Linked DNA regions of Kluyveromyces lactis. The main gene of each other region encodes a partner of the protein of the gene in region 6 in a complex. Links are inferred from orthologs where the notes say so. Each region holds a gene or a part of one and is shown on either strand. Other genes may lie near its edges.

Region 1 (4,548 bases), on a different chromosome or scaffold from region 6:
GCAATGCCTCTAATTTTTCTTTCTGCTTCTTCCTCTGGATCTTCATCACCATTGCAGCAGCATCCGACTTTCTTTGGCACTTTTTCGGACGATTTAAACGTGTTTAGAGGTGTAGTAGAGCCGGCGTCAGCAGTGGCTTTGCTAGATGCAAAGGACCTAGTATCATCGGTAGAGGCAGATGGGCCAGGTCCACATTGGCAAAGCTTGAAACGTCTTTCCCATTCCTTTTTCAATTCCCATGCCTTCAACATGTTGATCTTGATTCTGTTAAAGAAGATTTCGGCCAGAGATAACCCGAGTATGACAGCAAACACGTATGCAAGTACGAATGTCATAGCAACAAGCATCAACATATATATTATCATGGTAGAACAAAAAGTGATCAATAACCGTACAAAATCATGGAAGAAATCAACCCAGTCTGGGGCGAAAACGTTGAACATGAATTTGCCGAAACTAGTTGGCAAGAATTGCCTTTGTAATTCCAGATCTTCGATAGTATATAACACGTTCTTACCTGTAGCCTCATCGTTCTCAGCTTCCTCATTGACTCCTGCCTTCTTGAACCATTTCAATTCTAGGTACCAGCTCACAAATAACAAGAATTTGTATACAAAGGCAGCAACAACGATAAGCAAGAAGATACCAAATGCTTCACCGCGATCAGAAGCATAGAGTTTCTCAAAGACAACGGGATAGTTCATATATTTTCTTGTGAGATAAGAGTTCATTCCAGTCATTTCGGAACCACCATCCATGTCCATTCCAGACATAGAACTGGAAGTACTAGTACTCATGGCCATGGCACTGGCTGAGGTGGTAGTATCACCTGCGTGCATATTCATGTTGAAAGGCTTTATTGATATCTGTCGATGGGGTTTTTGGATAGTGTCGGTTGTGGCTCTTTTGATTAACCCAAGCCAACTGTGCAGTTATTCTTTTCTTCGTCAATCGCTTCCCAATACGTGAATGAACAAAGAGTTAAAATCAACAAAAAAACATCAATGTTTCTGGTGTGTAACCGTCAGCAGCTAGAATGGAACTGATCAAGATGTATGGCTAAACACTTATATGCCACTTTCTTATATTTAAAATGTACAACCAATACCTTCTCAAAATCTTCTCATCTCATTCTTTATGTTAGCTCTTTCATTGATTTATGTTCTCTGTAACTTCGGTCATTTTTCTTCACAGAATTCCTTGCAGAATGAAATGAAGAGGGCGGCCTTTATTTGCTCAATAAGCTCAACTCGAATAAAAGTAAATCGAACGAGACTTCACTTGAAACGAGAACGTTCATGTATCACTGATAAGCGGTAAGAGCAGCCTCATAGAGCACTTCAATCTTTACTGAGTACCTTCAGTAATTTTTTTTTCTTCATTTTGTTAACTGACGTTGTAATATTACATTGTTTGGTAGATATACACACGGTATGAATATGTATCTAGAAAAAAGCTCTGGTAAGAAGTATCAAATAACTCGTTACCTGAAAGGAGGCCTGCTTGCAAGGTTTTTTGGATTATAGGTTCTCTGTCTTGTTCTTACAACTCTATTCGGTAGAGCGGGCTCTGTATTTGTAGATTCACGATTAGCAGAAGAGGCAGAGCCAGCGGTAGTCGATGATCCTGCCAAGATAGGAATTCTTTTTGCACTGACTGCTAGTGATCTTTTTCTTTCTCCAGGAGTAATACCTGTTAGTGTATTAGGTATAGTGCCTATTGCAGCGTTGTTTCGTATTTGATGTAGAATGGATCTTCTTCTGAGTTTCGATGACGCGGAGCCTACCGTTTGTTTTCCCATAAAGTCAGTTGAAGCTCCTACTGAAGATATCATTTGAGGTTTGAAAGTAGTTGGGTTGGATACAAACGAAGCGGCTGTGTTATCTTCGTCATCGTTAATGTCAATGTTAACATTCGAGCTTGCAGTAGAACCTGGCACATTTTCATCACGATACAACATCTGAGAACCTCGTGATAAAGGTTGTCTTGAAAGAGGTAATATGCTTCCTTTGGTAAGTTCCTTTGGCTTGAGTTTCGCCTGTAGTGCTTGTCTTTCTTGTTTCAACTCTTCTAGTCTTTGGATTAATTTCAATTCATGCGGAGTATCATGAGATATGTTCGGGAAATCAACACACCAAGAGTTACACATCAATCCGTATAATAAAGCGCTTAGAGCCTCATTTAAATCCGCTATCGATTCATGAATGAAATTCATGTGCGTCATGTTACCATCGAGTGTTACCATCGAGTCCGAAAGTTCCTGTAATTGTGGGAGCACGTATTTTTCAATCATTGTTTGATTTGACGCATGCTGATCTCGACCGTTGTTGCCTAAACTAGATCTTCTTGAGCTTGCATTAGATGACAAAGATAGTCTATATTCAGTTGGCCTGTCCCGCTGTGGAGTATTTGGCCTTTGAGACATATCTTATGAGCAGATGAATCCAGCAGTTTTATGTTGAGTTTGGAATAGTGCCAAGTAGCCCTGAGAATTTAAGATGAAAGGTCAAAAAAAAAAAAAACAAGTAATGAATTTACCTCAGACTGTCTATGAGATGTCAAATTAGATACCAGGTTGCCCAAAGAGACACTATCGCATTCCGTCTGTCTGCTTGGAGACACCTTACTGTTCGTGTTTTTGTTTTGCTTTACTTTATTTACGTTTTCGATTTTCGATGTACAAGTATTTCAACGATAGTTAGTTAGTATTCATCAACAGGAATGAAAATCATTCAAAATAGCTATAATAGTATTTACAGGTACAAACAAGGTTGATACTACTATGTGTTTAGTAATTAACTGCTTGAATATAATTTATTGGAATTTGAGTATCTCGAATACTAGAAAATTGAAGGAAATGATGGGATCGAGATAGAAATTCCTGAGAATATCAATATGTGTTTCTTTATCACATGAACTTCTTGGCATGTTTTAGCTTTTGCCTCTTTATTTCATCCTGTGACATAGCGGAACCACGACCACGTCTTAGTGCAATGATAAGGAAGATAGATGAAAGCAGAGATAACCCATACCAAGTAATTAAATATTGTAAATGATTATTCTTCAAATCAATCTTTGGTGCTTTACCAATAGGCACTCCCGCTTTAACGAATTGGAACTCGTTAAATTCCAATCCTGTCTCCGAATCTGCTGTATTTACTTTCTTCGTGTTGACGTGTGGTTTCTCGGATTCTTCTTGTTGTGGTTCTGTTTCGGTTTTCTTTTTAGACCAGAATTTCCAAGATGATTGGTTTTTGTTATCGATACCCTCAGATTTTGATTCTTCATCCCAATGGTGATCTTTCAGATCGTAAAGAGCTTGGTAATGAATAGGAGAAGTATGTGTCATCTCTGTCATATCCTTAATATCCAAGACTTGCCACAATCTACTCTCCCTGTCTTCCTTCTTCCATTGCATTGATGTCAAATCTTTAGCTGCACGCACTAACACTGTAATTGTCACGTTATCGCCTTGAGGTAAAGACAAATGTTGCAAGTTACGAGATGATGGAACGATTTTCTCCTCCGAGATCCAACCACGTTCAATCAAAATTCTTTCTCCCGTATCCTTTCTGATGAAAGGCGTATATAAAACGTACCCCTTGATCCCTCCTCTAACACGGGGGCCGACAAAAATCTCTTCATCATGCAAGAATCTACCGGTCATAGTACACTTGCGGTATTCCCAGTCTTCGCACATATCCGGTGTAAACGTTTTAGGTAACGGAATAGGATCGTAGGTTAATTTGTCTTCGCAGGAAGCAATTAGATTGGTTTTCCATTTCAATCTTCTTAATTGCCAGGTTCCTAAGTAGAACGAGATCACGGGCATGGCAATCATCAGTCCTAGAAAAATACGCTTACCCCATCGTGATTCCTTCTTTTGAAATCCTTCAGTAGGTGTCTTCTTTGTTTTGATAGGTTTCCAGTCAACAGTCGATGTCCTGACCGTGCTATAAAGTCGTCTTACCGGCCTTACCTTTGGTACAGTGAATGGCCTAGCCACAATGAAGCGAAACATATGCTTTGCTAATTGTGTGATACTAGTAGCTTCCGCTAAGAATTGAAATGCGTTTGAACAATTAGTAACAGCAAAGAAGTTAAAGCTTTTCTAATCATGTTTATACGCGATTAGATATACTACTCATCTGCTTTCATCATCTTCATTTTCCAATCTTTTAAAGATCAGAAAAGTGTGAAATATTCTAAAAGTCACGTGAAGAAGAATTTGGAACTCCGACGTTGTGGGGATATTAATATGTACAAGGTTACGTAGATCTGAGTATTGATTGTTTTATGAGAATGATCATCTAGGTCGTAATTGAATCATGTGAAGGTTGTTCAGATAGTTTCTTCATAGGAGAAAAAGTGAAAGTAATTTAAATATGGAGTTGGTTGAAATCAAGCAGAGTAATATACCTTCTTGACATCCACAATTTTCTTACCTCTACCTAGAGCAATTTCATCTATAGATTTTTGAGACTTGGTGATAGCGTCTATAGTACCCTTGGCTATGTTCATGATATTTCTACTCTTGTAAACTTTTGC
Region 2 (4,031 bases), on a different chromosome or scaffold from region 6:
TAAAATCTCAGATCGCAAAGCTTATAAATCAACTAGTTTATCATTCCATATTAGAAGAATGTGAAAACAGCTACAGGTATGGACTTTTCCAGATGAGCCCAGATGATGTATCAAAAAATATCCCTTGGTTCACAACAAATAGCATAATAGAAAATCTTAATGACATCTTCTTCTTGTTAAGGCATGCCTCTGAAGATCTTGCCGTTGTGTCAGAATTTGTAGAGGAATTACTGCTATTGGTTAAGTCTCTATTTTATATGGTCAGGCAAATAACCATGTGGATTGATGCAAATGCCATTACTGATTCTAGTTATAAACAGTTTTTCGAAGAAAATCATTTACTTTGGAATAGGGTCCTTAGGGATGTTAACAGGTCTCAGGATTCAATTCTAATCACAGATTTTTACCAAGACTTTGAAGGCTTAGTTGAAACTTTGCAATCTCTGCCAAAAATTACCGCATTCTCTCTATACGATGAATTCTTCCAGAAATACGGATACGACTTTGCAAAATCCTTATTTTCCTACTATATCAAGGAAGGGCTATGGGATGATCTTTACGAATCGTTTGGTGAAACCCATTCAGAATATTTGGACCAGTTCTTAGGAGAATGTCCCGAGTATGGCAAAGTTAAATGGATTGGAAACATATATTGCCATAAATACGACGAAGCAACTACAACTTTGTTGAGTATTTCTACTGGAACTCAATCGCTGGGTCAAGATTTGAAACAAAGACAGGCACAATTGAGTATTGCCAAATTAACAGCTCTTGCCGCGGAAGTTCAAGATCTTGAAAAGCTAAACGAAATTCAAACCGAATTAGATCTCATCGATGGGCAAATTCTTCTATCCCAAGAACTACAAGAATCAACTCTCAACCCACTATTCAAAGACTTTACCACCTATCGAACTTTGTTCAAATATTTGAGCGATGCTGTGAAGAGGAGAGAATCTCTCTCAGTGCCGCATATGATAGAATTATTCACACTATTAAATCAAGATACTTCTTATGGATTTGCATTGAGTATCCTTGCCATTGATCACACGTTACCCACTGAAGTAAAAAAGTACTGCGAGTACCAGATCTGGAGAAGGTGTCTCTTATCCGATGAAAATGCGGTTAGACAAACTTTAAGGGTCTTTTTCAAGCAGCAGTTCTACCATCAAAGTATCGAACTTCCAATCATCGACAACTTGGCCAATGAGAAATTGATCACTGACTCATACCTGGATGGCATGTACCATGGACTAACCGATCTTAATAAATTAGCTAGCGACGTCAAACGAGAGGTTGCTCTTTTCGCTAATTCGAATTTGGACGTTACGATGTTACAATCCATCATTGGAGAAATCAACGAGGAAACCGGTAACCAATGTGTCATCAATTACGCAACTAACACAATCGAGACAAGTCCCACATCTTTCTAATTCAATAATAGAAGAAGGTGCCACACCAATTAATTGTACATAGTATAAAACCTGTTTATACACCATATGTATATATTCAATAAAAACGTTATTCAACGTCATCTGCAACTTTCACCCGTACCAAAGTTTCCGGAAGCGGAGGTAATTGATCCTGTTGCCGCTGCTGGTTATCTTCTGAACTTTCTGACGCAGCACTTTCATCTTCAGCGCCCTGTTGGTTTCTATGTTCCTCTTTACTGGCCCATTTCCCAGTCTCATAGTCGTTTTCTGTATACTGAAGTAAAGATATCGAAGCCTGAGAGATAGACCGAAGAACCGAGTCCCAATTAGCCATTACGTCTTTAACAGTCACAGCATTGCTATTCATCTGCGCTACCTGAACGCTCAGCTCGTCCAATTGAGCCTTTAATTTCTGTGTCAATGCAGAAACATGCTTCAAATAATTCAATTCTCTTCTCTTAGTCTCGATCTCGGTTTCAAATGCCATACTGACAACTTTTTTTCAGGTGACCCAAACCTCTTACTCTTCAGCTAGAATATATCATCCAACTCGCTCCGAGAAGTGTCTATCTTAGCTGATAATTCTTGGTTCTTCTAGTCTTTGAAAGAATTCACATTGTAGAGATTAGTTCAAAGTCGTGATTTCATATTATTCCGATATTGAAATAAAGGAAGAAAACTCGAGAAAACCGACTTGTATCAGGGGAGATTGATCTATACAAGCTACGCTAAGCATTAACACCGCTATTTAGAATGAACGAAGGGTTGGATAACATCAAATTGCCCATTACATGTCCAACTTACCTCATTTGAATTAAATGTAGTACTAAATATGATCCGGGTAATCTTGTTTTTTTGTGTTTACATCGTAGAACAAAACGTAAACAATGAAAACATTCAAAGCTTTAGATCTCATTCAGCGTTTAAATAACCTGTTCATTGACTGAAAGAAGAGCGATTCCTAAGTCTATAGGGACCCGAATTGACGGCGGATAGTGTTACTAAGTTTTGTGAGAGTGCAACATGAGCGCTTCTTCGCAGTACGATGAATTTCAAGCTATGCTTGAGCAACAAAAGGGAATTTATTTACAGCAGAACAGTCAGCTTGCGAAATATAATTCCAGTCTTATGATGAAAATCACTGATATGGAGACTAAAGTGAGTGAATTGGTGCAAGAGAATGTTTCCTTACGGTCGCGGCTTTCTATGGGTGAATTGCGCTATCGTGAGAAGCTCAATACTGTTTTCCAGACGTTAGAGGACGGAATTGTAGAAAAATTCTTGCAAATGAACCAATTGTTGACCACAGTACGGGAGAGCCAGGGTTTAGAATCAGGTATTCATGATAACCCTCTTAAACCGATTTTGAGAGGCTCGAATGGTATAAGCCCGAGATCTGCGAAGAAAGTGGAGTTTACTGGTGCAAATACCACAACGAAACCAGTTGGGTTTGAGGATCCAATTGCGGAAGATAACCATGAAAATAGCGGGAATAGTCTCGAGCTGAATGATGATGAGGTACGACCTCTGAGAAAGAGGAGGCGTAAGAGTTCACGGAGAGAGTCGTTGTTCATTCCTGCAGATTTCGAGTTTAACGATGAGGACCCGGAACTAGAACTGAATCAACTGCCGATAACTGAGGATGAACCGCCGCCTAGTACTGCAGCCACCTCAGTACCTGAGGAAGAGTCTCAGGAGAACAAGCATACAAAAGAAGAGCGTGAAGACGAGGGAAAAGAGAATGTCTCTACGATACCTTTGGTACCGGTCCTTCCATCTGTTACTAACACAGGCACTGAATGTAGCAATACCAATAAAAATAATACTACAGAAATGGAAACTGCACTTGCCGAAGATGATTCTTACAATTTCACTACATCAGTCATTGAATATTCCATTCCAGAGGAAACTTCAACTCACGAGCATTCACATATCCTACTGGAAACGTCGAAATCGAAAATTGATGTATACAACGACAGAGAAGAGACAAACAACAATGAGGCTGATGACTCAATGAATATCGTCCAGTGCACAATCCCATCACAATCGAAAATTAAACATTCCATGAAACATCCTAGGACGAAACTGAAAGGTGGCCAAGATGATATTATGCCCCACACAGATTACGATAAAGATGATGAAAAACGAGAAAGAAGGACTAGAGGCAAAGCTGTCAACTATAAACTCCCATCACTACGTGCTAAGATGCGTAGACCCACTGAAAAATTGGTGGATGCCACAACTGTCACCGATATTCATGATTTACAAGTGAAACGTAGAAATAACCAACAACAGGGAATACCGTCTGATGACGATGATCAGGAAGAACTCTTAGTGCCTGCTGGCGTACCTGACACAAATGTCGTCATTGCAACAGTGGAAGAAGAGAACAGAAAGGAACCACCGGCTTTACCATTACATGAGATTCACCTTGCACAAAACGTTAAACCTAAAATCGCTCTGAAAGAATTATCAGCTAACGCTATCAACAGAAAAGTTAAAACATCTACTGCCGTAAAAGCAATAAGCCACACTAAATCGCGAGTGCTTAAAGATGTCAAGTTCAACACATTGCCCACAAAGCAACAAGCTATTGAAAAC
Region 3 (3,870 bases), on a different chromosome or scaffold from region 6:
TCCAGAGCAGCCTGTAGACTCGAGTCATCTCCTTGCATCATCAACTGTTTACGACGTCTCTCCTCTTCCTCCGCAGTGATCCTCGACTCCTCTAAAGCTCGTTGCAAATCGTCGTCATCTTCATTATCGTCACGTCTATTCTTCCTACCACCACGTTTCCTCCCCTTAAGCCTCATCATCCGTTCCTCCTTCAACCTCTCCTCGTCCCGTAATAACGCCGTCAACTCTTTCGCCTTCACTCTGACAATCTCACCGTTATCGATCTCGGTAAACTCATCGGTGTGTGTAAACTCACGCAACGTCTTAATAATGTAAAGGTTCTCTTTACACCAGAACACACAGTTCTCTGATCCGCATCTCACCAAGAAATCTAGACACGTTAGTGACTTGGCGACATGTCTCCAGTTCCGGCCTTTATCGTTTAATCTCTTGTCCAACATATCCATGATCTCGAAAAATTCCACGTTATCAAATGTCCTTTCAGCCAACTCTTCCAACTGATCAACGGACGGACCGTCCTTATCGTTAGAAGTGGCACTTCTAACGAGAACCTGAGCCTGAGAGTACCCATTGACTAAATTCTTTGCACTACGAAGAAATGCTTTGGACATCGTATAAATTTATCTGATCTCTTTAGTTTCTCGTAGAACTTACGAACCGAAACTCCTATATTACTGTTAATTTCGTTTTCAACACGATATACAACCTTCCGCTGTTTTCAACACAGGACCAAAATATATTATTCTTATCAGTGACAAGCCCTATGTCTATATCAAATTAAAGCTTTAATAGTCAATGTCTGTTCCTGTTCCTATTCCTATTCCTATTCCTATTTCTATTTCAATTTCAAATTTCGTTTTCGTCTTTTTTCATTTTTCCTTTGAAAGTTCCAGTTCCAGTTCCAGCTTCAGTTCCTGTCATAAAAACACTCATAGTAAGCAGGGTCCTTAACTATGTGTGGAAATGAGACCCCTTTTTTATAGGAGAGTGGCCGGGTAATACAAATAAAATACAAATAAAATACACACAGGTCACGTGAACACCCGATTACAAAAGTTTATCAATCAATCGATCATTGGAACCGATCCAGCCTCCTTCGTTTTACACGTGACTAGAAAAAGATAATCAAAACACATATCGCTACTTACGTTAGAGAATATATCATCAGATCACATGATACGAACTGGAATATTTCTTTTCCATCAAGTGCATCTGCTAAATTTTCAAAGAGATATAATCAGTTTTTCAACATAGCATTAACTAACTGATCGGTATAGCTCATCGCTTGAAAGAAAGTGTCTTGTTATCCATATATCTAGTTCCTTTTCACTTCCAACCAAAAGCATCTATCACACTCTACCCACTACCCACTATGCATTTGATGTACACTTTGGATGCCCAAGGCAAGAGAATCTATACTTTGAAGAAGATGACTGAGGATAATGAAATTACAAAGTCTGCTCACCCTGCTAGATTCTCTCCAGATGACAAATACTCCAGACAAAGAGTTACTTTGAAGAAGAGATACAACCTTTTGCCAAACTAAGGTCCCTACAAGTTGGAACACAATCCGCAGACAAAATTGCACCGGTTAAAACTCACTGAACATGAACAAAAAAAATTAATCCATTATTATCTGTAAATTAGAATCAGTACGGTCCTGAAACCGACTATAAAAAGGCGTATGTATATACGTACATACTACATCACTTAAGTAACTGCTTTTTTTTTTTAATAAATTCTTCTCGTTAGAATATATGTGAGACCTTACAATGGGTCCTGTTTCTTGGAAGTTGCCTGCAACTGGAAATCAACAGATTCTCTATAGTTCTCACACATTTGTGACATCAGTTCCAAATTCTTATTCTTGGTGTTTACCCTTCGAAGCTCTTGGTTTAGTATCACTACACTCTGGTTCAACCTTTCGACATTGCCAATGATTCTAGCCAGAATATTGCTTTGAACTTTCTCATACGGGTTTTCCATGGTATGTATCACAAATATAACTGATGACGGATAGTTATACACCAGTTTTGTAGCCTCTAGTGCCTGTGTTTTCCTTGTGGTTTACATTTTTGACCGATGTTTTGCATTTGAATACATGTTGGATGCTATTATAAACCTTTTTTTTTTTTTTTTTAAATGATGAAAATTAGTACCTGCCCCAAAGCAGCTTCTCAGTGAAAATGAATTAAAAAAAAGCTTGAGTATAATAAACTAAACCTTTAATTTGAAGTAAACAAGGATCCAAATTTCATCTATAACAGACTTCTAGTGTGCGTTTCGAGCTTTTGGCGGGCATCATATATCAATTTGGTGATAATTGCTGGTAACGGATATTGTCAGTTAAATTTCACCTGTGAATAATTACCATTCTTACTGCGTGCCTATCAGGTGTTTGTTGATCTTTTCCCCTGGTTAATCTCTCTTATTCAGAATTGATTTTTCAGCGAATAACCGACCGATAAAGGTAGATTGGAACGTCTACTTAGTTTCGAGAGTGATTCAATTGTAACTATTAAATTTTTTTCGGCATCAAACATGGATACTATTGACGTTCAAAATAAATCATTTGTTGTGCGTTGGCAGAAAGTTTCTCAAGGTGATATAGTTTCGTTTCGGTTGAAACCTTTGAAAAAATCGATAGGGTTTGGTATATACAGACGGTTTGGTGGATCATCCACGACTGATTTGAGTGAAACAAACCATGGGAGTGTAAAAGCTTCTTCGAATAGTAATACTAATCCGTTAATTCGAATTTCAACCGATGCCAAGCCTAACGTTGCCTTGGCAGATCACGAAAAGGACAAAAACGTGCCGTTGCAAACAAGGTTAGCACAAAGCGGTCTGGAAAAGGTGACCTGGTATGGGACCATTTCTAACAACGATACCGTTGCCGAATCGTTCGAATCAACTTGTGAGAGTTGTTATTACGCGTTCATTTTAGACAATACTACTTCGAAGCAGACTAAGAAAAAATGTTTATTTTCGGTGAGTATCAACCCTAGTGCATCGGCAATGGAAGGTTTGGATGACGATCAGGAATCCGTCATTTCAAACCAAGAGGAAAGCTTTGGTGCCAATGGGACGAATGGCAAGCGACCTTTGAATTATAGCCAAACGTCATTCAAGGATCCATCTTTGTCCTCATTAGCAAAATCGAATTCCAATCCATTTGCGCCATCTCCAGGCCAGACTACTCCAAGCACAATTTCCAACGTGGGTACATCTAACGGACCAAACACTAATTCTCCAGTGCCAATAAAACCACTGAGTCCAAGTTCTACATCCGCGACAGATCACGATTTGAAAAACAGTAAAGGATTCCAAGGATATTTACTAAAAAAGAAGAGAAAGAAGCTACAAGGTTTTACCAAACGGTTCTTTAAACTCGATATAAAATTTGGGATTCTCTCATATTATCTCAACTCTAAATCTCCTGTGTGTCGTGGTGAGATTGTTGTCCCACTTTCATCAATAAGTGCAAATAAGCAAACTAAACTTATTATCATTGACTCAGGCATGGAGATCTGGGTCATGAAAGCTCGTGACGAAAAAGATTGGGAACTTTGGATTTCAATGATCGAGTCATGTTTCAAACAAGACGCCCCAACTACTTCGCAAGATCACGAATCGCATAACGTTGTCATTCCTCCTGATAATGATACCACAGCATTTTTCCGCAATTTAACATCCCTAAGGAAAAGAATAGAAGAATGCAAGTATCAATCTTTATCCTATTCTAACTACACACCTAACGCAATAGTATCTCCCATTCAGGGCCCTCCGACATCTTCAAAGCAACAGAGGAATGTGTCACGGTCCTCGTCTGTTTCTTCATTCATGAACTCCTTTTCTAGGCAACGGAAC
Region 4 (3,844 bases), on a different chromosome or scaffold from region 6:
TTCGCATACTATTGTCTCTAAATTCATCTTACTCGAAGACTTAACTCGAAAGCTTAAGTGCCCATCAGTTCTTGATTTGAAAATGGGCACCAGGCAGTATGGAGTTGATGCCAAGAGATCCAAACAGCTGTCACAGCGTGAAAAATGTAAAAAGACTACTTCGAGGAAGCTTGGAGTGAGATTATGTGGGCTAAAGATTTGGGATAAGAAGCATAATTATTACATTACAAGGGATAAGTATTACGGTAGAAAGGTAAGAGTCGGTTGGCAATTTTCTAGAGTGTTAGCAAGATTCTTATACGATGGCGAGTCGAAAAGAAGTATCGTTAAGCAAATTCCTATCTTGATTCAACAATTAGATACTTTATACAGTGAAATCGCGAAGCTGAAATCATACAGATTGTACGGATCATCTTTGCTCTTATTTTACGATGGCGACAACCCTCAGAACAAACGATCTCGGGTGAAGGTAAACATTATAGATTTCGCTAGGTGTGTCACTGATCGTGATATAGAAAAGTCACTAGATCGTTTTAAGATTGCACCTCATTTCCCAAACAGAGAGGATCAGGGATTCCTTCGAGGTATAAAATCCTTGAAGTTCTATCTAGTTCATATTTGGAATTTTTTAACTAACGACGCCGCTATGGTCCAACATGGAGAGCAGCTAACGCAGTTTTTGGAAGATAATATAGACAAATTCAATTCCAACTGGGACTGGCTAGATGAATACGATAAAGAAGATGACGCCGAGGCCTGCAATGCGGAAAGTCCTTTGCGCGTAAAATGGCGGAAATATGAATTGATCTTTGACATTGAGCCCAGATACGCTGATGACGAAGTCAGCGACTAAGGCCAATCATTTGAATAAGAACCAAATTTTTTTACTCTCAATTACAACTACATCCAAACGACATATTCTTGTTAGTGCAATACAGCTTCAGCATAATTTATATATAAGCTTGTACGTAACTACCGTGTAAGTATAATTCGGTTTTTGCTTTGCAGCTAAGGCTAAAAGTCATAGGTTTTAGCATTGTTACCTGGTGGAAAGTTGCGGGCTACACGAGTCGATTGTTGTGGTTTGTATTTGTTTGAACAACGATAGGGTTATATCGATATAATTTTTGAAGATCGGATAACAGAACTTAAATTGTTCAAGACTGATAAGATTTATTCTCCCAGCTTAGAGAGACTAGCCAAGAGTTGAAGATGCCTTGGCCAGCCAAATATACTGGTTGATTTTTACTTGCCCTTTTACGCTAAAGAAACTTTCAAGAACTATGTAATATGGTGAAAGAGTAAGCATTCAATAACTTTTTCCATTTTATATCCGAGAGAACATCGGTAGGGTAAGCTGAATATGATGTGAAAGGGCAGTCAGTCGTATTATATAGCTTGGCGTGAGATGAAGATCGTTTGCTAATCCAGGTTACCAGTATTTCGCTTAAAATTAGTGGTTTCTTACATTTGCTATGTCTTTCAAACGTCTGTATATGTGCCAATGATAATCCTTGCCGGTAACATCTTGATTTCATATTTGAAGGTAAATTGGCAGTGAAGATTCAAATACCGCAGATCGCGATATTCGCCTATTTTAATGTCTAATTGAGCTGCTAAATGTTCCAATTACCTAAGCTTTGGAGCCAGTTGGTTCTCAGCGATACACCAGGTTTCTGTCATCAACGACTTAGTATCTTTATGAGAAGCGGACAGTTTTATTAAAACATTTAGATCATGGAAATACACGAAAAAGGTAAACTGATATGCATTGTATATCGAGGGTCATCGGAAAATAACAGGAGTCCCGATTTGCATACACTGAGGGCCCAACATATAGCAAGCAGCAATGACAGAAGAGGTTCAACAGCTATCGACAGGCGACAAATATTTCATCGAGCAAAGAAGTCTGATATTACAAGAGATCAACGAAAGCATGGATGCCATTTTGAATCAATTAAATGGGTTAAACATTACCCTTGAAAATAGTATAGCAGTCGGGAAGGAATTTGAAAACGTATCACAGATATGGAAACTGTTCTATAATGGGCTTGAGTCTGAAGAACAGAATATGGAGACGGTAGGAGTAGCAGATTCTGAACATATTACGGAGGATGTCAATCCTGAAGGGAAATAGAGAATTGGTTTTATATCAAGAAAGGCACAAATTGAGGAACTTGATAAGCTTTGCAGATAAAACTTACCAGCCAATGAACTACAGCAACGTGTCGCATCATAAGTATTTTTCATCAGTTGTTTGTTCTAGAAGTGTGCTTCTATAGACGGTATATATATGTAGACCGTTTGGTACAGGATAAAAAGAAAGTTAAGAACACGCCACATATTTTTCATCAGTTTCTGCTTAAATTTCGTGCGTCTTCTACTAATCTCTTGATTTGCATCCGAAGCTATACTTGTATTGAAGGGAAATGGGGCAATATGTTTAACACCCTCGAGGAAAACAAGTGCATACTGACAGAAGGGATTGTGGCATTTAGCGTTACTTTTTGCTGGGCAACAACAAGAAGTTGGTTCCTTGGCCCAGTTGGTTAAGGCACCGTGCTAATAACGCGGGGATCAGCGGTTCGATCCCGCTAGGAACCATTCTTTTTTTCAAAAATTCCTCTCTTTCTTAAGTATACAATGTAACGCTGAACCTCTTAATAATACGGAATATCTTCCATCAGTCAGTCGAAGTGAGCAAATGGAATATTATCACCCACAATGGTAATGCTGGTCCCCCTGCCTACGTTATTATCCTATATTCTCTATCTTTAAGTCCAATGCAGCTTGACGCGACTTTTCTCTTTTGAGCAAAAAACAACTTTCTTCAATAGAAAGAGAATCTGCAATTTGATGTTTAAACAGATCAAGTTCTGGAGGAGTAAAACAGATGTTTGGTCTTTAAATAGGCCTTTGGTTCTATTATAGAATATATGATGGGTGCGGAATCACGATCGGTATTTGTGTGATGCAATTTCTGGGGTGGTAAGGACCAGTGCCACACTTGGGTTTGATTTTCCTCTCATCGAGTTTCGTGTGCGCATGTTCGTCTCTCACATCGAGTTATACTCTCATCTTCTATACATTAGAAGGATGCATCAGCAGTTTGATCTGCTGAAAGAGTTCATACACCCAATTATTGTTTAAAGGCCTGGTGTTGGGTAGTATTTCTAACGGATTTTAGAAATGCTATGACAACAATACCTTTAGAATTATATTGTGTGGATATTTACTTCTTGTTAAACAGACTGTGACATATCTCAATGAGAGGGGATTATTCTCGTTTTTGGAGTTATTCTGATGCCTGTTGCTCTTGCTCCTACGCATAGAAGCATAGCATTGAACTCCATGGTGTGGTACTTCAAATCCGTACACCACATACCTAATCAAAACCGCCTCGCAACGGCTTCCATATTCTCGTCTGTATTCAATCGTGGATAGTGGTTTCAGCTCGACGTGGGTATGCTAGTGACTCAGAGTTTGGATGTACTAGGTTTCATAAGGATACCCAACTGGAAATGTTGCGGAAATATCACATTCGTCCTTGCTCCATTGTTAACTCAGTGTCACTTTAGGTCCTATGGGAAACAATGTTGAGCTGATGCATTTTTCCGTCAAGCCATTACCGTTCTTCGGGATGGCAAGGATTAGCCCTTCCTATTACAGGCTTTATAATGGAAAACTCTTAAGATATATTTCTAGGTTTTTTTCCATGACAGAGAATTAAGCCTGTGGTTCATGTTGATATTCCAGAATACGCAACAATTGCTGCGTATTCGGTAGGTTTCTTTTTAGTGATTTTTCCAAACCCATTCTTCTCTTCGTTAGTATATTTGACTCG
Region 5 (4,263 bases), on a different chromosome or scaffold from region 6:
ATTCCAAGGATCAGATGAACCATTGAATTTAATTACCCAAAAAACCAATGATACCGGCGTTTGGGTCTCTAATCAAGAAAAAATTGCCAGTATTGGCATACATGTCAGAAGATCTGTCACCTCACATGGTATTTGTATTAACGTTGACCCAGACTTGTCTTATATGAACAGTTTTACCATGTGCGGGCTGTCAGAAAAAAAAGCCACTTCCATAAGAGAACAAGTCCCTGATAGTTCTACCTCTGTTAATGATGTAGCAGTTGCATTCGTGAATCAATTAGCTAAACTTTTGGGCATTACCACAGTAGAGAGAATTCAACTTGATGATTTACCCATTTACACTGATTAGACGCATCACCCGTAGTCTGCAAGAAATGCTTAGATTAATTTTTACTTTAAGAATGATATTTATGATTAGTTTTACTTTGTTGCATATTTAAACACAGCAGCCAAAGCCCCTGCCGAGATAGAACTTAATAAAAGCAAGTTGGTTGTAGTACTGGGTAATTTACTACCTGTTGATACAGCTGGTAATTGTGCAGTACCATCGTCTTTCGTCTTTACCGGTTTTGACTTTGCTTGTTGTAATTGGGTATTTTTAAATATTTCGACCTCAAGACGTGTCTGTAATTCATCAACTTCACTTTTTAGCTGTTTGATCTTAGTATTTTTCAAGTCATTATTTTCCTTTAGGGAGTCATTAAGCTTCTTATTTTCTTGTTTTAATGCCTGTATTTCTTCATTATGGATGGTGGTTAGTTCTGCCTGTTGATTCGCAAGCTTCTGTTTAACGCTTTTCTGAAGTTTGACTAGTTGTGAGTCCGCTTGCTCCATTTTCATCTTTGATAGATATTCAAGCTTTGTAATATAATTAACGATGAAATTGTCAATCGATTTCAACTTTTCATATTCCAACTTTTCAAGTGTTAGATCTGTCACTAAGGTCTTGATGATATTAATCAAATTCGGACTTGTTCCGATAGAATTGTTTATAAATATTCCACTCAATATTTCCGTTTCAGACCCCAATACAGCATCTTCGAGGTCAAGATTATTTACATCTCCGAACATGGCGGCTTCGAACGCAGCTTTTTGAGCAGTTGTTATCGTGACCATTGGGTCTGGAATCCCATTGTTTGCAGGTGTACTCCTGAAATCTCGTTTATTTGATACTAGTAGTTTATCGTTTTCGCCAATCAACGGTATCACTGAAATGTCCTCCACTAATGCACTTATTTTACGATGTTCAAGCTTTGTGTCTATATCCGTCCCTAAATCTATCACATCCCCCACTTTGATTTCAACATCAGTTTGACCGATCCTACTACCATTCACGAAAGTACCATTAGATGATTTCAGATCACGTATACATATTTTACCAGTTTTAGCATCACACGATAACGATGCATGGTTTCTTGAAAGCACTCTAGAATCAAAATTTCCATTATCAGCTTTCACCTGTGGATCAGCTTTGCCGGAAAGTCCTCCGTTACTTCCAGAATTTGAAGCTCCAATGACAGGTCGTCCCAATTTTAGTCCACTGGGCTTGAATGGAACTACTAAGAATTTAGTCTCAAATGTGTTGTTCAACGATTTTAGAACCAAAACATGTGTGTATTTGTTTCTGGCCTGTGTTCTCTCATCTTCAGCGGAAGTCAGTTTATTAAGAGCGTCATTACTTGAATTCAAACAGTTGTCATTCGAAGAACCGTTGCTGCTTGAGTTGGAACGAGCTCTTCTTCCTTTTGTTTTTGATGTGCTTGTGTTATCGTTACTCTGGTTTGCTGAAAGAGGATCCAATCGACTTCCTTGTTTCTCAGTCATATTCACTGCTTATAAGAACCCAATTAAACCATATGCAAAAAAAGGTAGTGCAAAGTGCAAGTTCTTATTCGGCTTCTGATTCACTTCAATGGAGAGACTGCCTCGTAGCAAATACTGCTGAAGCTGCTTTACCACTTCTGTGAAGATAATACTAAAATCATGAAACTGAGAAAAGAATGGACTTAATTTCAATCACAATTATTTTAATTCACCACATAGAAAAGAGGTAAACAAACATTACGCAACATACACATGAAAACACAACACTTCACATAGATCGGCAGGATTGTAATTGGATAACGCACTGTGATAATTTGGCATTGTTATTTGAGCTGATTTGACACAATGGAAGAGGTACTTTCGGAGGGTGTAGATGCTTTAGCAGCATGTGTCGATGACATGGCGAAATGTTTAACCGTATCTAAGGTCACTACAGATAGAAGCACTAAACTTGCTATAAATATGCTACAAACTAAGAGGGTATTCCAGTTGGTATCAGAATATGATGTGCAGAGGGCCAGACTTGATTTGATGGAGGATATAGAACCATTGTTACAAAAACTATATAGTAAACTGGAAAAAGCTCTAACCAAATTGGAAAGGGAGCGGGCCACTCTATCACAAACATTCGAATTGAATAAACTACGATTCAACAATCAAGAAAGTAACCCCATCATAGATAATGTGAAATCGGATCCAGTTGTAATAGTATCCTCGACACATGAAGAATTGGAACGTCTCAAAGACTTAAAGAATCGTAAAGAAGAACTGATACAAAGAATACAGGAATTGCATGAAGAGAGATAAATAAGCATACGCCGACTCTCTATCTATCGCATTGTTAACTTAAATTTTGAATATTTACAAAGTGATTGCTGATTTTGTTTTCAAGCCCGTTCAACTTTGCACTGACACTAATCAATGTAGGATCGCTGGTGGTAATTGAAACTTTCTCGCATTCAGTGACAACTCGCCCGTTAAATGTCACACACCTAGCCAATAGATCGCTTGCTTGCGGAAGAGTGATTCTTTCAGTTGCTGAAAAACTGGATATCAAATTGTTTATCATAGATGTTTGTTCAACTTGCAAGCCTTCTTCCTTAAGGATCTCTGCGATTTTTCCATTTCTGTCTTGCTTCAGCCTGTCTCTGACTTTATCACTGAATGATAACCCAGTTTTCGAATCGATCTCACTCCAGGGTTTTTTAATGACTTTTGTCAAATTCCTAATGTCCAAGCAAATCTCGTTTTTGAATAGCACTAATTCCATATTGACCAAATGATGTGCTGATTCACAAATGTCATGAGATTCAGAGAAGTTGTCGTTTAAGAAGCTGTTGTTATTATGCGGAAAGACCAATTCTCGTGGAGGATTTTGTAATAATGTAATAGATTGTGTAAGTAACTCCAATATTTTCCCAATTTTATTGTGAAAAGTATGAATATCATCAAGTTTCATATCGTGTAATTCGGAAAGTTGCTGTAATTCGTCAAATAAGGACAATACGGATGATAAATTTGTAATTATGGCATTTATTTGAACTAAGGGAAATTGTTTATCAAGGTCCATCTTTAGAACTATTGGTTTACCCCTGCTAAAGTCTGGAAGCTTAATGATAGCCTGAAAATCCACTATAAATCCGGCCTGTCTAGTGATTGTCCCTTTAATCGATGTGCTGTCTGGCGCGGCACCTGATGTGTTAACGGAGACACTATTCCCATTGGTAAGAGGCATTCGAAATTTCTCAGGACTAGATAGTTGGTTTATGCATTTCTCAACATGGTCCATAACGTTAGGTAGCTCAGGCTTTATGATTTCTTTAATCAACCATGTCTGTTGTAACAAAGAGCTCTCCTCATATGTAGGAGCATTTTTATATGCCCCATCATTATATAATTCCGTAGTCATCTCGGATTTATGCAATTGAGAATTAATGTAGCAAAGCTCCCTTAGCGTGTAGATAGCAAGAGCCTTGCTAAGATGGGCGTTTTCCTTTGTCAACCTTTTTACTATTCTTTTGCCTTTTTCGTATGATGATTCTTCTGAATATTTCAAATTTAAACCTTTTCTTGAAGTTGATGCGACTCACCCACATATACTTTAACTAGAGATAAAGGAAGATCATTGAAAATTGTAAAGTGGTTGTAATTGAAATTGCTGGCGTGGATTAGGATCAAGGTTTACACAGATTCTAGATTTGACTCAATTGACGAGTTGTACTCCGGGACACAGCTTTTTATTATTAGGGAAAGTGTGCTATTAAACGCATCAGACGACGACCGCAAATGTTTACTGTAAGTAAGAAATCCTTACAAGCAAGTCGTAACGCTTTCAGTCCATTGAATAATAGCAAGAGAACAATCGTATTTACTGCAATAGCAGCTTTTGGAGACCTATTGATTGGGAAAGATGTTAGACTAGCAGATGCTATGGAGAAA
Region 6 (4,357 bases):
ATTTATATTTTCTTCATCCTCCGATGAGTATTCTTTATCCATGTTGTACTCTATAATCATATCGATTCTATCCTTAACGTTGTTCAAATGCTTCTCCAAAAACAATTCATGCTGCTCAATTTTAGCCACTCGCTTGAATACTAGTTCACGCATCATTTTTAACTTTTCCAGCTTGATATCTAGCTCTCTTATTTCGCTAGCTGCTAGATTTTTCTGGATTTCAAGTAAATCCAGGTTATCGGTGATTGACCTCGAGGCATCCTTCAAGAAGGATGCGGAGTAAGAATGCAGAAGTTTATCAGCTTTTAAATGGTCTGGCAAACTAAACTCTTCCTCTTGTTCTTCTTCTTCAGCGTAAACTGGGATGGACTCAGAGTCTGTTAAGGGTTTCATATCGCTATTCATTATAAGTTTTTGCTGTAGTTCTATCGTTTCATTAATAACAGGTAAAGATGCTTCAAATCCTTGAAATAACGTCGGTTCTTGCTTTTTTGACTTTGCAGATCTTTTCTCGCCATTTTCTGTTATCATGTTCTTGTTCTGAGGTATAGTGTCTCGTGGGGCGTCTTCAAGTAGATCATCACTCAAGTAACTTAAAACTTTGAATGTTGTTTTTGGATCACTATAAGAGTTTTTAAAGAACTCTTTGCTATTGGAATATATATCTTGGAAACCTGTATTCTTGCCTTTAGATAATTTCACGTCGTGGCGTACTTTAACTAGTGATGATCCCCCACCTGCATTAGTAATTGTCTCATGAAGCAATTTCTTATATGGACTACTGTATGAAAGAATTGTGTCTTCCATCGGCTGCGACGAGAATAGAACAGACGCCGTGGTAGACAGTGCCTTTCCCAGATTGGCAAACTGGTCTCCCGTATTAGAACTCATAGTTCTGGCACCACTAACACTCTTATCGAGGCTTTTGCTCGCAACATATGTTTCTTTAAGATTTGAAGTTGTAATAGGAACTAACAACTCTTTGTTTCCATGTATCTACTTTTTTGTACTCTGAAATTAGAACTTTCATTGCAGCAATAAAATCATATGAAAGAACGAAAACCGTATTCTCTGTAGAAGAGCAAGATGCCGTAGAAATGGAACTACGATATATTTCGTTATCATAAAATTAGAACCTTAATAATACAAAAATGATATATACTGAACTGAAACTTACATGAATATTTCCATTCCAGTGCGAGATTAATTCCCGAAGTGTGAAATATATCTTTCCACTTCATTTCGGCAAGCATATCGGTTTTTCTTGGATATAACTTATTAATGTATCAAATGGATTTTTAGTACCGCTGCTAGATTTCACTTATTTCTCCCTTCCAAAAGGTCCAACTGTTTCTCGAGCTTCTGTATTTCTTTCTCCTCTTTATCGATGAGAGATGATATTGACGTTTTTTCCGGTAACGCTTCGTGTTGGAAGTCTAACTCCTGGATCTCTACTTTCTTCTGAAGTTCATTAATATCAGCTTGTAATCCATTGTATATTTGCATTAGTTTTTCAAATTTCTCCTTGTATTCAGTGAGAGGCCATTGATCTATAATTTCCCGGAACACAGATAATATAATCGAGATTGGGAAATCTTCTACGAAAAGAGTTTTCCTTCTTGATACATCCTCGCCAGTTATCACACTTCCATTCCGCAATGCATGAAGAAATTGCTTGATTTGTTCGTCCTTGCTGAATTTTTTCAATAGCACGTCGTAGATTCCCAGCTCATCGCTGTTACTTCCTTCGAAGATAAAATCTCTTGCAGGTTTCTGTTTCTTTCGGATGACATGATCGTTTTGACTGAGATAAAACCCCTTCGGTATGTAGGTAATAGGTCTTGGATCTGGTAAACATAGTGCTCTGTTCCGTTTCAAAGTTGCTTCCCTCTCCAAGAGATGATCGTATATCCCTACTTTCCCATCCTTACGCTTCATATTTCCATCGTTATCTGTACTGTATAATGACATTTCTTCAATTGAATCGCCATCTCTTATAAGCTTTACTATAAGATCTGAGTACACTTTGCTGTTGCCTGGTACAATCGCATTTCTAAAGATGCCTGGCGGTTTGAAATATAAGGTCGATATTGACTCCGCGGATTTTGATATCTGATCCAGGCAGTAATCTAATGATCCAGACATCCTTTGATGTTGTTAAAAAACACTACACGTACAGATTAGGCACCACCCTCTTTCAGGAAACTGCTATGGAATACAATATTTCATCCAATACTATGTAATTTCTTGAAATACTCCAAATGATTCATTTATCTTTTAACTCGATTATGTTTACATTTTAGTTTTTTTGTTTTCGGTGTTTACGAAATCTTTACGTGAAAAGAGTTGGCATTATGTTAATGGAAAAGGTTGACAGAAGACTTTTAAGGCTCATGCGGCCTTTACATCGGGGTAAGCTAAGCGAGAACTATTGCTTACTTTATTCTATATATGATGATAAATAAACAAGAAAATCAGAATTGGCTATTATTATTCTCTCCATGCGATATAAACCTCATCGGTTCTAAACTTCTGCGTGACAATGGTTTCAGAAAGATCCTTAACAAAGTGGCCTGTTCTGTACTCTAATAGGCCTGCCTGGGCAATCATCACACCATTATCAATACAGAATCTGTCATCAGTTGCGTGTACTTGTCCATTGGACCTGTCTTTACACATTTGGGCCATCATCTCTTGAAGCCTAACGTTGCATCCAACACCACCCACTATTAGCACTTGGTTTGAGTTTACATGGGCCATTGCACGTTCGGTAATCTCCACAAGCATGGCAAATAAATTTTCCTGTAAAGAGTAACATAGGTCTTCTACAGTCACAAGCTGTTCTCCTGTTCTTGAATCAAATAATAATTTATTCTTCAAGTTCTTTTTGAATAGGTCTTTCGCTAAAGTGTCAATATATTGCAAAATACCACTCATTGACAGATCCATTCCCTTAACAGTGTATGGTAATACCACTAATTTTTCTTTATTCTTACACTGTTTAGCCAGTTGTTCAATGTTGTAACCAGGCGATGGTGCATTCGGTATCTTCAAAGTTCTTGCAAATCTGTCTAAACAATTCCCAATGGCGATGTCCAACGTTTCACCAAAGATTCGATATCTTTTCTCGGAGTAAGCAATAACTTGAGTGTTACCTCCACTAACATAGAGCACGACAGGATTTTTAGCTCCTGTGATCTCTCTCCCCATCTCGATATGCCCCACACAGTGGTTAACCCCAACTAATGGTATGTCCCACATCAATGACAAAGTCCTTGCAGCTATAACCACACAATGCAAAGGAGCACCCATTCCAGGTCCTCTAGTGAAACATATCACATCGATCTTTGTGGGATCATCGATCTTGGCCTCCGTTAATGCCTTTCTAATGATTCGTACCACCCAATTCCTATGATGTCTTGCAGTATCTCTTGGTAAAAACCCTTCTCCTGGCGGTGTCACATATGTATCTCTAATATTAGCCAATATTTCAACATCACACTCATACGAAAGGTCACTATCTTCATGTTTTTCTAGCACTGGGTGCTTGATAATACCAACGCCTAACTTGTTGGCAGATCCTTCAAGACCAATTGCCAAATAATAGTTCCTTTTACCTCTTGGTGGAATGCCGTTTAAATTCACCATCTCTTACTGAAAAAAGAATTTTTGACGATAATAGGTATACCTTCAATGAATATCGCACGAACACACGTTGAACTGGTGAGACACACTATATATTCAGGGAGTTGTATTACAGATCAAGATAGTCAACTCATCTCAGTTCAACTTTTCGGTTTTCTCAGATTCCAATTTTTCAAAAAATCATATACACCAATTTTGTGAGTAAAAGATAGCATAGTAAGAGGAGCAACAACAGAAAAAGTGTATCAAACTGCAAGACATAGTCATAGCTGGTCAATCACTCGTTGAGGGGAAAAGATTGTGTACAGAACGTATTTTCAGATTCGATATGAAAAAAGATCTCCGCGACGGGGAATTGAACCCCGATCTCGCACGCGACAAGCGCGAATTCTAACCATTAAACTATCGCGGATTTTGAAATAAAGCACTCACGGTGGGGGTCGAACCCACAATCTTCTGATTAGAAGTCAGACGCGTTGCCATTACGCCACGCGAGCTATTTAATTCGTTGAGTTGCTTGAATTCCCTTTAATTTATGTACGGAAGCCGAAACCACGTGCTAACAATGTGCATCTTTGGATAATTTATTAATGGATTTCACCCTTTGAATCAACGCAAAAATACCTTTTATTAATTGCAACCAGCGGAAATCTTTTTACTACGACAGTGAAACTCCCTGAGCTAATTTTATCTCATTAGCCTCTTTATATTT
Region 7 (4,226 bases), on a different chromosome or scaffold from region 6:
TGAAGTAGTTCTGATTGCTTGTTGTTAATCTTAGAAGTTTAAGCAAGTATGCAAATTTTTTATAATGCTTTATTGGAAAATGTTGAGTATAATTTCTTTCCAAAAAAAGTACAATTTTAGTATCTGCTCGCAACAAGAAAAGCACGCGAGATAGGTATCGTTACAAAAATGGAACTCTTAAACGCCGTTTCAATCCTTGAACTCTTTCTCTGGAGTATTAAGCTATCTAACTTAACAATATTTGTTTCCTATTTTCCCAGATCTTTCGAAATCAAATTTTACTTTTATCGAAAATGTTCTTATTTCAATTTTTCTATTGGTGGCAATAGGGTAAAAAAGGAGGGAGGGTAATCAGAATATTCTATTCTAGTACTGCAATGAGGAGATAGAAACAGTGAGATGGAGCTGGCACGAAGTTCTACAAGAATATGACAGCAGTCATTATACTGGACCTTCTTGTGCTTTAGTTATTTAGGTGATATGTTTGAATTATTATATGCAGAATTATGTAGGTGTCTCTGAAGGCTACCCCAATTAAGAGAGTTGCACAGCAGATATCACAAAGGACGAACGTTGCCCTGACTTACGGTGGAGAAAGGATTAAGGTATAATCACGTAGCGGTGGTACAACTTCAGTCGAAACTCCTGGTAATGTTAACCCTACTGTGGTCAAAAATACGCGCTAGGTATTGTATTGTATTCTCTATTTACAGAGGTTTCAAATGAAACCCATTTTAATTTATTTTATACTTAGATTCATCATAGCGAATGGCGCAGGTATGTATGCGTTTCTTTGGTCCGCAATTCAAGGCTCTACAGGTTTTCCGTCATTCTCGAATGGTGCTTCCTTACGTGCTTCATCTAGAGCTGGTTTTATGCCTTGTTTCACCAAGCTAGCTTGGACACATTCCATATATTCGTACCATTCGGTTTGGCATTCGTTTTCAATTGACTCACCTTTCAAAAATTTCTCGCTGTACCAGTCGTTAAAACATTTATCGTACTTACCCTTCAAAGGTGTACACTCTGTAGCGAAACTTGCACTCATCACGTTACCCATGGTAGTTTTGTGGCGTATCTTGTATCGTATATGAATACTCACTTAGTCTCTGCATCGCACATAATCAGAATGTCAAATTCACCATGTAGAAATCCGATTGAAAACGAAGCTATAGAAGCATGAAACTAAAAAGGAAAGTATTATATCACGTGATTGTTCGTTCAGGTCATAGGATCTGGAACCCTGAGTAACAATGTATACCTCACACACTATGATATAGAAGTGAGTGGGGGAAGGCTAAGACAGAGCTTCAATCGCGTTTGCTGTTAAAATGAATAACGGTTCCCGGCTTGGCCAATTCGCCCTGGATTTTGTTATGTGTTTCTGTCCCAGTTTCTGTTTCCGGGGGGATCGTCTTTATTGGGGAACTGTTTGCAGAGATATCATTCTCCATTGAAGAATTAGAAGATGACGACGAATTGAAATGTTGGTGAATTTGTAACGAAACTTTTCTCTTCTTCCTCTGTTTTTCCATTGCACTATCCTGAGTCAACTCATCGGTATCCTGATCTTGAAATTGATCCTGTTTTACCGATCCTCCTGTTTTCGTGGTGGGGGCACCAGCGGAACTTACTCCGGTTTGAGATAAAGCAGGGTATTGATCGACTGTATGGAACTCATCAGTTTCGTTTTCTACCTCTGGAAATAAGGAAGTCCGGGGCTCCAAAACCTGACCCGCAGATTCCACAGCCTGATCCGTCACCAACTGAACATTAGCACTCTGCTGAAACATTTCTTTCAGCCACGAACTAGAATTCGTGATATCTTCACAAGTCTGTCCATATCGCGTCACGTACGGTATTATATCCTTTGTTATCTTGTTGAAACAGTACGAGAGGTCTGAATCGATTGATTGTAAATTTAACGTGATCTCTTGATCTATTTGTTCAATATTCACTGCATCCATGATGTAAAACAGGAAACCTAGTGTTAGCTAATTGGCACAGACTAATTGCGTCCTTTTCCTTGTTTACTGTAATATTTATAACAACGGACACCGCGTCCTGTTACCTGTAACCGTCACTATTTACACTTCCAAATCCAAATCCTTTCTGTCAAACCGGTTTGTTGACTTTTTGGTCAAATTCATATTTCCTCTTGTAACTCTAAGAAGAAATTTGAAATGACATAAAGAAAGTCTCTGCAATGCCAAGGTAACTTTCTGCAGATCAACGAAGAAGCGCTAGGCTGATTCGGATGAGGCTTACGATATTTCCAAGCTGAAAGTATAAACTAAACTACATAATACGTACTGATTCAAGGACACCGGTCACGTCTGCTATTCAAGGGTATCAATGGCTTAGAAGGCTCTGCCTACTCGGAGTGGAAAATTAGATATCATCCATTACGTTATCCATCCTTGCTCTTAAGCCTCGAAACCTATTAGTAAAGCATCGAAAGAAAACCTTTTTTTTTTACTGGAGCAAATATCGCAACAAAGCGCCCAGAAATCGCGCAGGGTGTCTCAAGCTAGTGTATCATCGAGCCGATTGACAGTTACATTCAGTGAATAGCAAGTTGTAATTTAAGGCATCAGTGACAGCATCACTGCAGTGCCATACACAAGCCATGCCATATAAAAGCATATATATATAAATATGTCAAATATAGTTTATATTGTTTTTTATTCGTGGAAGTCGGGTTTTAGATATATAAGGAAAAGAATGAGTATATTATACCAGCCGAATTTGACGGGACAAGGTCAACATAGCTCATTCCTTTAAAGAATATCACTGGTAGACATTCTCATAAGGATTGGATTTGATACAGGTATAAACGTAAACCGCAAGACTATACTAATATGTTTCCACGTCCAGGTAACTACTGGTTTATCTTTCCCTGGATAGCTTTCATTCCATGGTATGGGATGCTAATTGCGATGTTGGCATGTTGGGCAGGACAAGGTCATCCCATTTATTGGTTCATGCATACAGACCAGTTCCCGGTTTATATATCCCATATTGGTGCGACCAATTTAAAACCGTTGTTTATTTCTTGTGCGGCATGGCAAGGTCTAGGATACGTAATCATGGTTGCTCTAGAGTATTTTCAAAGATCTGGTCATTGGCCTTTCAAGTTACCGTATACTTATCATGATGACTTAGAAAAATCTAACGATAGCTCTATAATGGAATCGAACTACATCGAAGCTTTAATTCAGAAGAAATATGTCATGCCTCCATTTTTTACCAAACATGAACGGAATCTAGTATGGGCCTCATTCGTACTAGGAAGTATAGGTGAATTGGCTTTGCTTATGTGCACTATCTTCTCAACAAACACGTATCCTAGGGTGCACAGTTCCATGGTGGGTATATTCTGTGCATTTGTCGGATTGAGTGTAATTTGTCATGTCGCACAATATATGACAATGGGCAGACACTACGCTGTCGTCCATCCTCTTACAAGTAGTGAAGATATCGGCAAAGACACAAGGTGGAATGAATGGCACGGCCATGTTTGGAACAAGTATACTATCAGTGGCTTACTAAAGGCATTTTGGGTAATAGCTGCTTTCGTTTGGGCTATTTGTTTTGCATGCTTAGAAGATAGATCAACGACTGCCTGTTTTGAATGGCTATTGGCATTTTGGTTCGGATTATATTTCATTATTGTCTCTGTTGACTGGTATATTGGCGGAAGATATACCCAGTCCAAGTATTTCCATCAAATCACAATTACGGAGAATTTGAACTATTACAAGTACAATCAGTTGAACGCACTATAACTCACTTAGTTTCTCAAGAAATTATTAATGAAGTTGTAAATATAAACTACTCGGAAGGATATTCTGAAATATAGCATAATGATAATACTAGTTAGAACTTTACAAAAAATAGAGTATATTATAGATAGAATAAACAGAACAGAATAAATTACCAGGCTTCTGGGAATTTTAAAAAGTGTTATGAGATAGAGAAAAAAATAAAGTTCATAGTGATACATAACGGTTTGTTACTTTGAAATGGCTTCAAATTATGAAGAGTTGAATCATTCTGACACTGTAATTAAAAGATCAATCAATAAAAAGAACTTTTTGATATACGTGATGAATTGGTTTTAGAGTTCAATAGTATAAAAAAATGTGAGCAGACCATGTTCACAGCTCAAATCAAAATACTTCTTTGAACAAGGACTTTCTGTTGTCCTTGGAAGTAGGCTCTTC

What was found.
Region 1: the proteins of SPC34 (region 6) and DAM1 are in contact, whole or in part, in a cryo-EM structure (PDB 8Q84), measured with the Saccharomyces cerevisiae proteins. The link is inferred for Kluyveromyces lactis from reciprocal best matches to the Saccharomyces cerevisiae genes SPC34 and DAM1. Residues at the interface, in NP_012963.3 of Saccharomyces cerevisiae: Gly2, Ser4, Leu5, Cys8, Ile9, Asp11, Ile12, Ala15, Ser18, Met19, Leu22, Tyr23, Phe24, Lys25, Pro27, Gly28, Ile29, Phe30, His31, Ile34, Arg45, Ile48, Leu51, Ile52; in NP_011628.4 of Saccharomyces cerevisiae: Gln60, Leu64, Ile67, Arg68, Leu70, Ser71, Ile74, Ile75, Leu77, Asp78, Phe81, Thr82, Leu84, Asn85, His88, Glu89, Ala92, Asp93, Glu96, Gly99, Ser100, Leu102, Tyr103, Met106, Trp110.
Region 2: the proteins of SPC34 (region 6) and DAD2 are in contact, whole or in part, in a cryo-EM structure (PDB 8Q84), measured with the Saccharomyces cerevisiae proteins. The link is inferred for Kluyveromyces lactis from reciprocal best matches to the Saccharomyces cerevisiae genes SPC34 and DAD2. Residues at the interface, in NP_012963.3 of Saccharomyces cerevisiae: Tyr23, Phe24, Lys25, Pro26, Pro27, Gly28, Ile29, Phe30, Asn32, Ala33, Arg50, Leu51, Ile52, Lys53, Asp54, Cys55, His57, Ala60, Tyr61, Phe64, Val66, Pro68, Gln71, Ser72, Val73, Val82, Val86, Ile87, Asp90, Lys94; in NP_013009.1 of Saccharomyces cerevisiae: Asp57, Ile60, Asn61, Ile63, Ser64, Gln65, Ala66, Ser67, Leu68, Gly69, Leu70, Leu71, Gln72, Tyr73, Glu75, Tyr78, Glu79, Trp83, Leu117, Val118, Pro119, Leu120, Pro121, Thr123, Met124, Val125, Arg126, Ile127, Val129, Gly131.
Region 3: SPC34 (region 6) and DAD4 share a complex: the UniProt entries of both Saccharomyces cerevisiae proteins name them as parts of the DASH complex. The link is inferred for Kluyveromyces lactis from reciprocal best matches to the Saccharomyces cerevisiae genes SPC34 and DAD4.
Region 4: SPC34 (region 6) and DAD1 share a complex: the UniProt entries of both Saccharomyces cerevisiae proteins name them as parts of the DASH complex. The link is inferred for Kluyveromyces lactis from reciprocal best matches to the Saccharomyces cerevisiae genes SPC34 and DAD1.
Region 5: the proteins of SPC34 (region 6) and SPC19 are in contact, whole or in part, in a cryo-EM structure (PDB 8Q84), measured with the Saccharomyces cerevisiae proteins. The link is inferred for Kluyveromyces lactis from reciprocal best matches to the Saccharomyces cerevisiae genes SPC34 and SPC19. Residues at the interface, in NP_012963.3 of Saccharomyces cerevisiae: Ile52, Glu59, Leu63, Phe64, Lys70, Gln71, Val73, Arg75, Gly81, Val82, Phe83, Tyr115, Lys118, Asp119, Ser158, Thr160, Phe161, Leu181, Phe201, Glu203, Thr207, Ile210, Met214, Trp221, Leu223, Phe226, Leu233, Asn236, Tyr237, Leu240; in NP_010487.3 of Saccharomyces cerevisiae: Arg45, Arg48, Leu49, Val50, Pro51, Tyr53, Asp54, Val55, Arg57, Ser58, Lys59, Asp61, Leu62, Glu65, Val66, Leu69, Val70, Leu73, Lys76, Leu77, Lys79, Ser80, Met81, Arg83, Met84, Gln85, Glu87, Leu88, Leu91, Gln92.
Region 7: SPC34 (region 6) and ASK1 share a complex: the UniProt entries of both Saccharomyces cerevisiae proteins name them as parts of the DASH complex. The link is inferred for Kluyveromyces lactis from reciprocal best matches to the Saccharomyces cerevisiae genes SPC34 and ASK1.

The regions. Positions count from the first base shown.
Region 1 is NC_006038.1:998,407-1,002,954, forward strand, and holds DAM1 (Dam1p), read right to left. Parts: upstream 2,426-4,548; coding exon 1,484-2,425; downstream 1-1,483. Other genes in the region: high-affinity Cu transporter CTR1, read right to left, coding at 1-845; cytochrome oxidase assembly protein SHY1, read right to left, coding at 2,909-4,021; MRPS5 (mitochondrial 37S ribosomal protein uS5m), read right to left, coding at 4,402-4,548. UniProt on the Saccharomyces cerevisiae protein: Component of the DASH complex that connects microtubules with kinetochores and couples microtubule depolymerisation to chromosome movement; it is involved in retrieving kinetochores to the spindle poles before their re-orientation on the spindle in early mitosis and allows microtubule depolymerization to pull chromosomes apart and resist detachment during anaphase.
Region 2 is NC_006037.1:699,932-703,962, reverse strand, and holds DAD2 (Dad2p), read right to left. Parts: upstream 1,918-4,031; coding exon 1,519-1,917; downstream 1-1,518. Other genes in the region: NUP133 (Nup133p), read left to right, coding at 1-1,430; SGO1 (Sgo1p), read left to right, coding at 2,454-4,031. UniProt on the Saccharomyces cerevisiae protein: Component of the DASH complex that connects microtubules with kinetochores and couples microtubule depolymerisation to chromosome movement; it is involved in retrieving kinetochores to the spindle poles before their re-orientation on the spindle in early mitosis and allows microtubule depolymerization to pull chromosomes apart and resist detachment during anaphase.
Region 3 is NC_006039.1:1,464,442-1,468,311, forward strand, and holds DAD4 (Dad4p), read right to left. Parts: upstream 1,987-3,870; coding exon 1,768-1,986; downstream 1-1,767. Other genes in the region: ENT1 (epsin), read right to left, coding at 1-611; snoRNP complex protein NOP10, read left to right, coding at 1,373-1,546; oxysterol-binding protein related protein OSH3, read left to right, coding at 2,542-3,870. UniProt on the Saccharomyces cerevisiae protein: Component of the DASH complex that connects microtubules with kinetochores and couples microtubule depolymerisation to chromosome movement; it is involved in retrieving kinetochores to the spindle poles before their re-orientation on the spindle in early mitosis and allows microtubule depolymerization to pull chromosomes apart and resist detachment during anaphase.
Region 4 is NC_006038.1:608,526-612,369, forward strand, and holds DAD1 (Dad1p), read left to right. Parts: upstream 1-1,849; coding exon 1,850-2,137; downstream 2,138-3,844. Other genes in the region: inositol polyphosphate kinase KCS1, read left to right, coding at 1-853. UniProt on the Saccharomyces cerevisiae protein: Component of the DASH complex that connects microtubules with kinetochores and couples microtubule depolymerisation to chromosome movement; it is involved in retrieving kinetochores to the spindle poles before their re-orientation on the spindle in early mitosis and allows microtubule depolymerization to pull chromosomes apart and resist detachment during anaphase.
Region 5 is NC_006040.1:1,584,224-1,588,486, forward strand, and holds SPC19 (Spc19p), read left to right. Parts: upstream 1-2,169; coding exon 2,170-2,631; downstream 2,632-4,263. Other genes in the region: lipoyl(octanoyl) transferase LIP2, read left to right, coding at 1-349; KLLA0_D18799g (uncharacterized protein), read right to left, coding at 421-1,824; RAV2 (Rav2p), read right to left, coding at 2,666-3,733; ubiquinone biosynthesis protein COQ4, read left to right, coding at 4,111-4,263. UniProt on the Saccharomyces cerevisiae protein: Component of the DASH complex that connects microtubules with kinetochores and couples microtubule depolymerisation to chromosome movement; it is involved in retrieving kinetochores to the spindle poles before their re-orientation on the spindle in early mitosis and allows microtubule depolymerization to pull chromosomes apart and resist detachment during anaphase.
Region 6 is NC_006042.1:1,997,487-2,001,843, forward strand, and holds SPC34 (Spc34p), read right to left. Parts: upstream 2,146-4,357; coding exon 1,318-2,145; downstream 1-1,317. Other genes in the region: KLLA0_F21406g (WD repeat MDV1/CAF4 family protein), read right to left, coding at 1-891; KAE1 (tRNA N6-adenosine threonylcarbamoyltransferase), read right to left, coding at 2,491-3,648. UniProt on the Saccharomyces cerevisiae protein: Component of the DASH complex that connects microtubules with kinetochores and couples microtubule depolymerisation to chromosome movement; it is involved in retrieving kinetochores to the spindle poles before their re-orientation on the spindle in early mitosis and allows microtubule depolymerization to pull chromosomes apart and resist detachment during anaphase.
Region 7 is NC_006039.1:1,071,204-1,075,429, reverse strand, and holds ASK1 (Ask1p), read right to left. Parts: upstream 1,968-4,226; coding exon 1,311-1,967; downstream 1-1,310. Other genes in the region: MDM35 (Mdm35p), read right to left, coding at 806-1,060; SFK1 (Sfk1p), read left to right, coding at 2,862-3,788; LPX2 (Lpx2p), read right to left, coding at 4,173-4,226. UniProt on the Saccharomyces cerevisiae protein: Component of the DASH complex that connects microtubules with kinetochores and couples microtubule depolymerisation to chromosome movement; it is involved in retrieving kinetochores to the spindle poles before their re-orientation on the spindle in early mitosis and allows microtubule depolymerization to pull chromosomes apart and resist detachment during anaphase.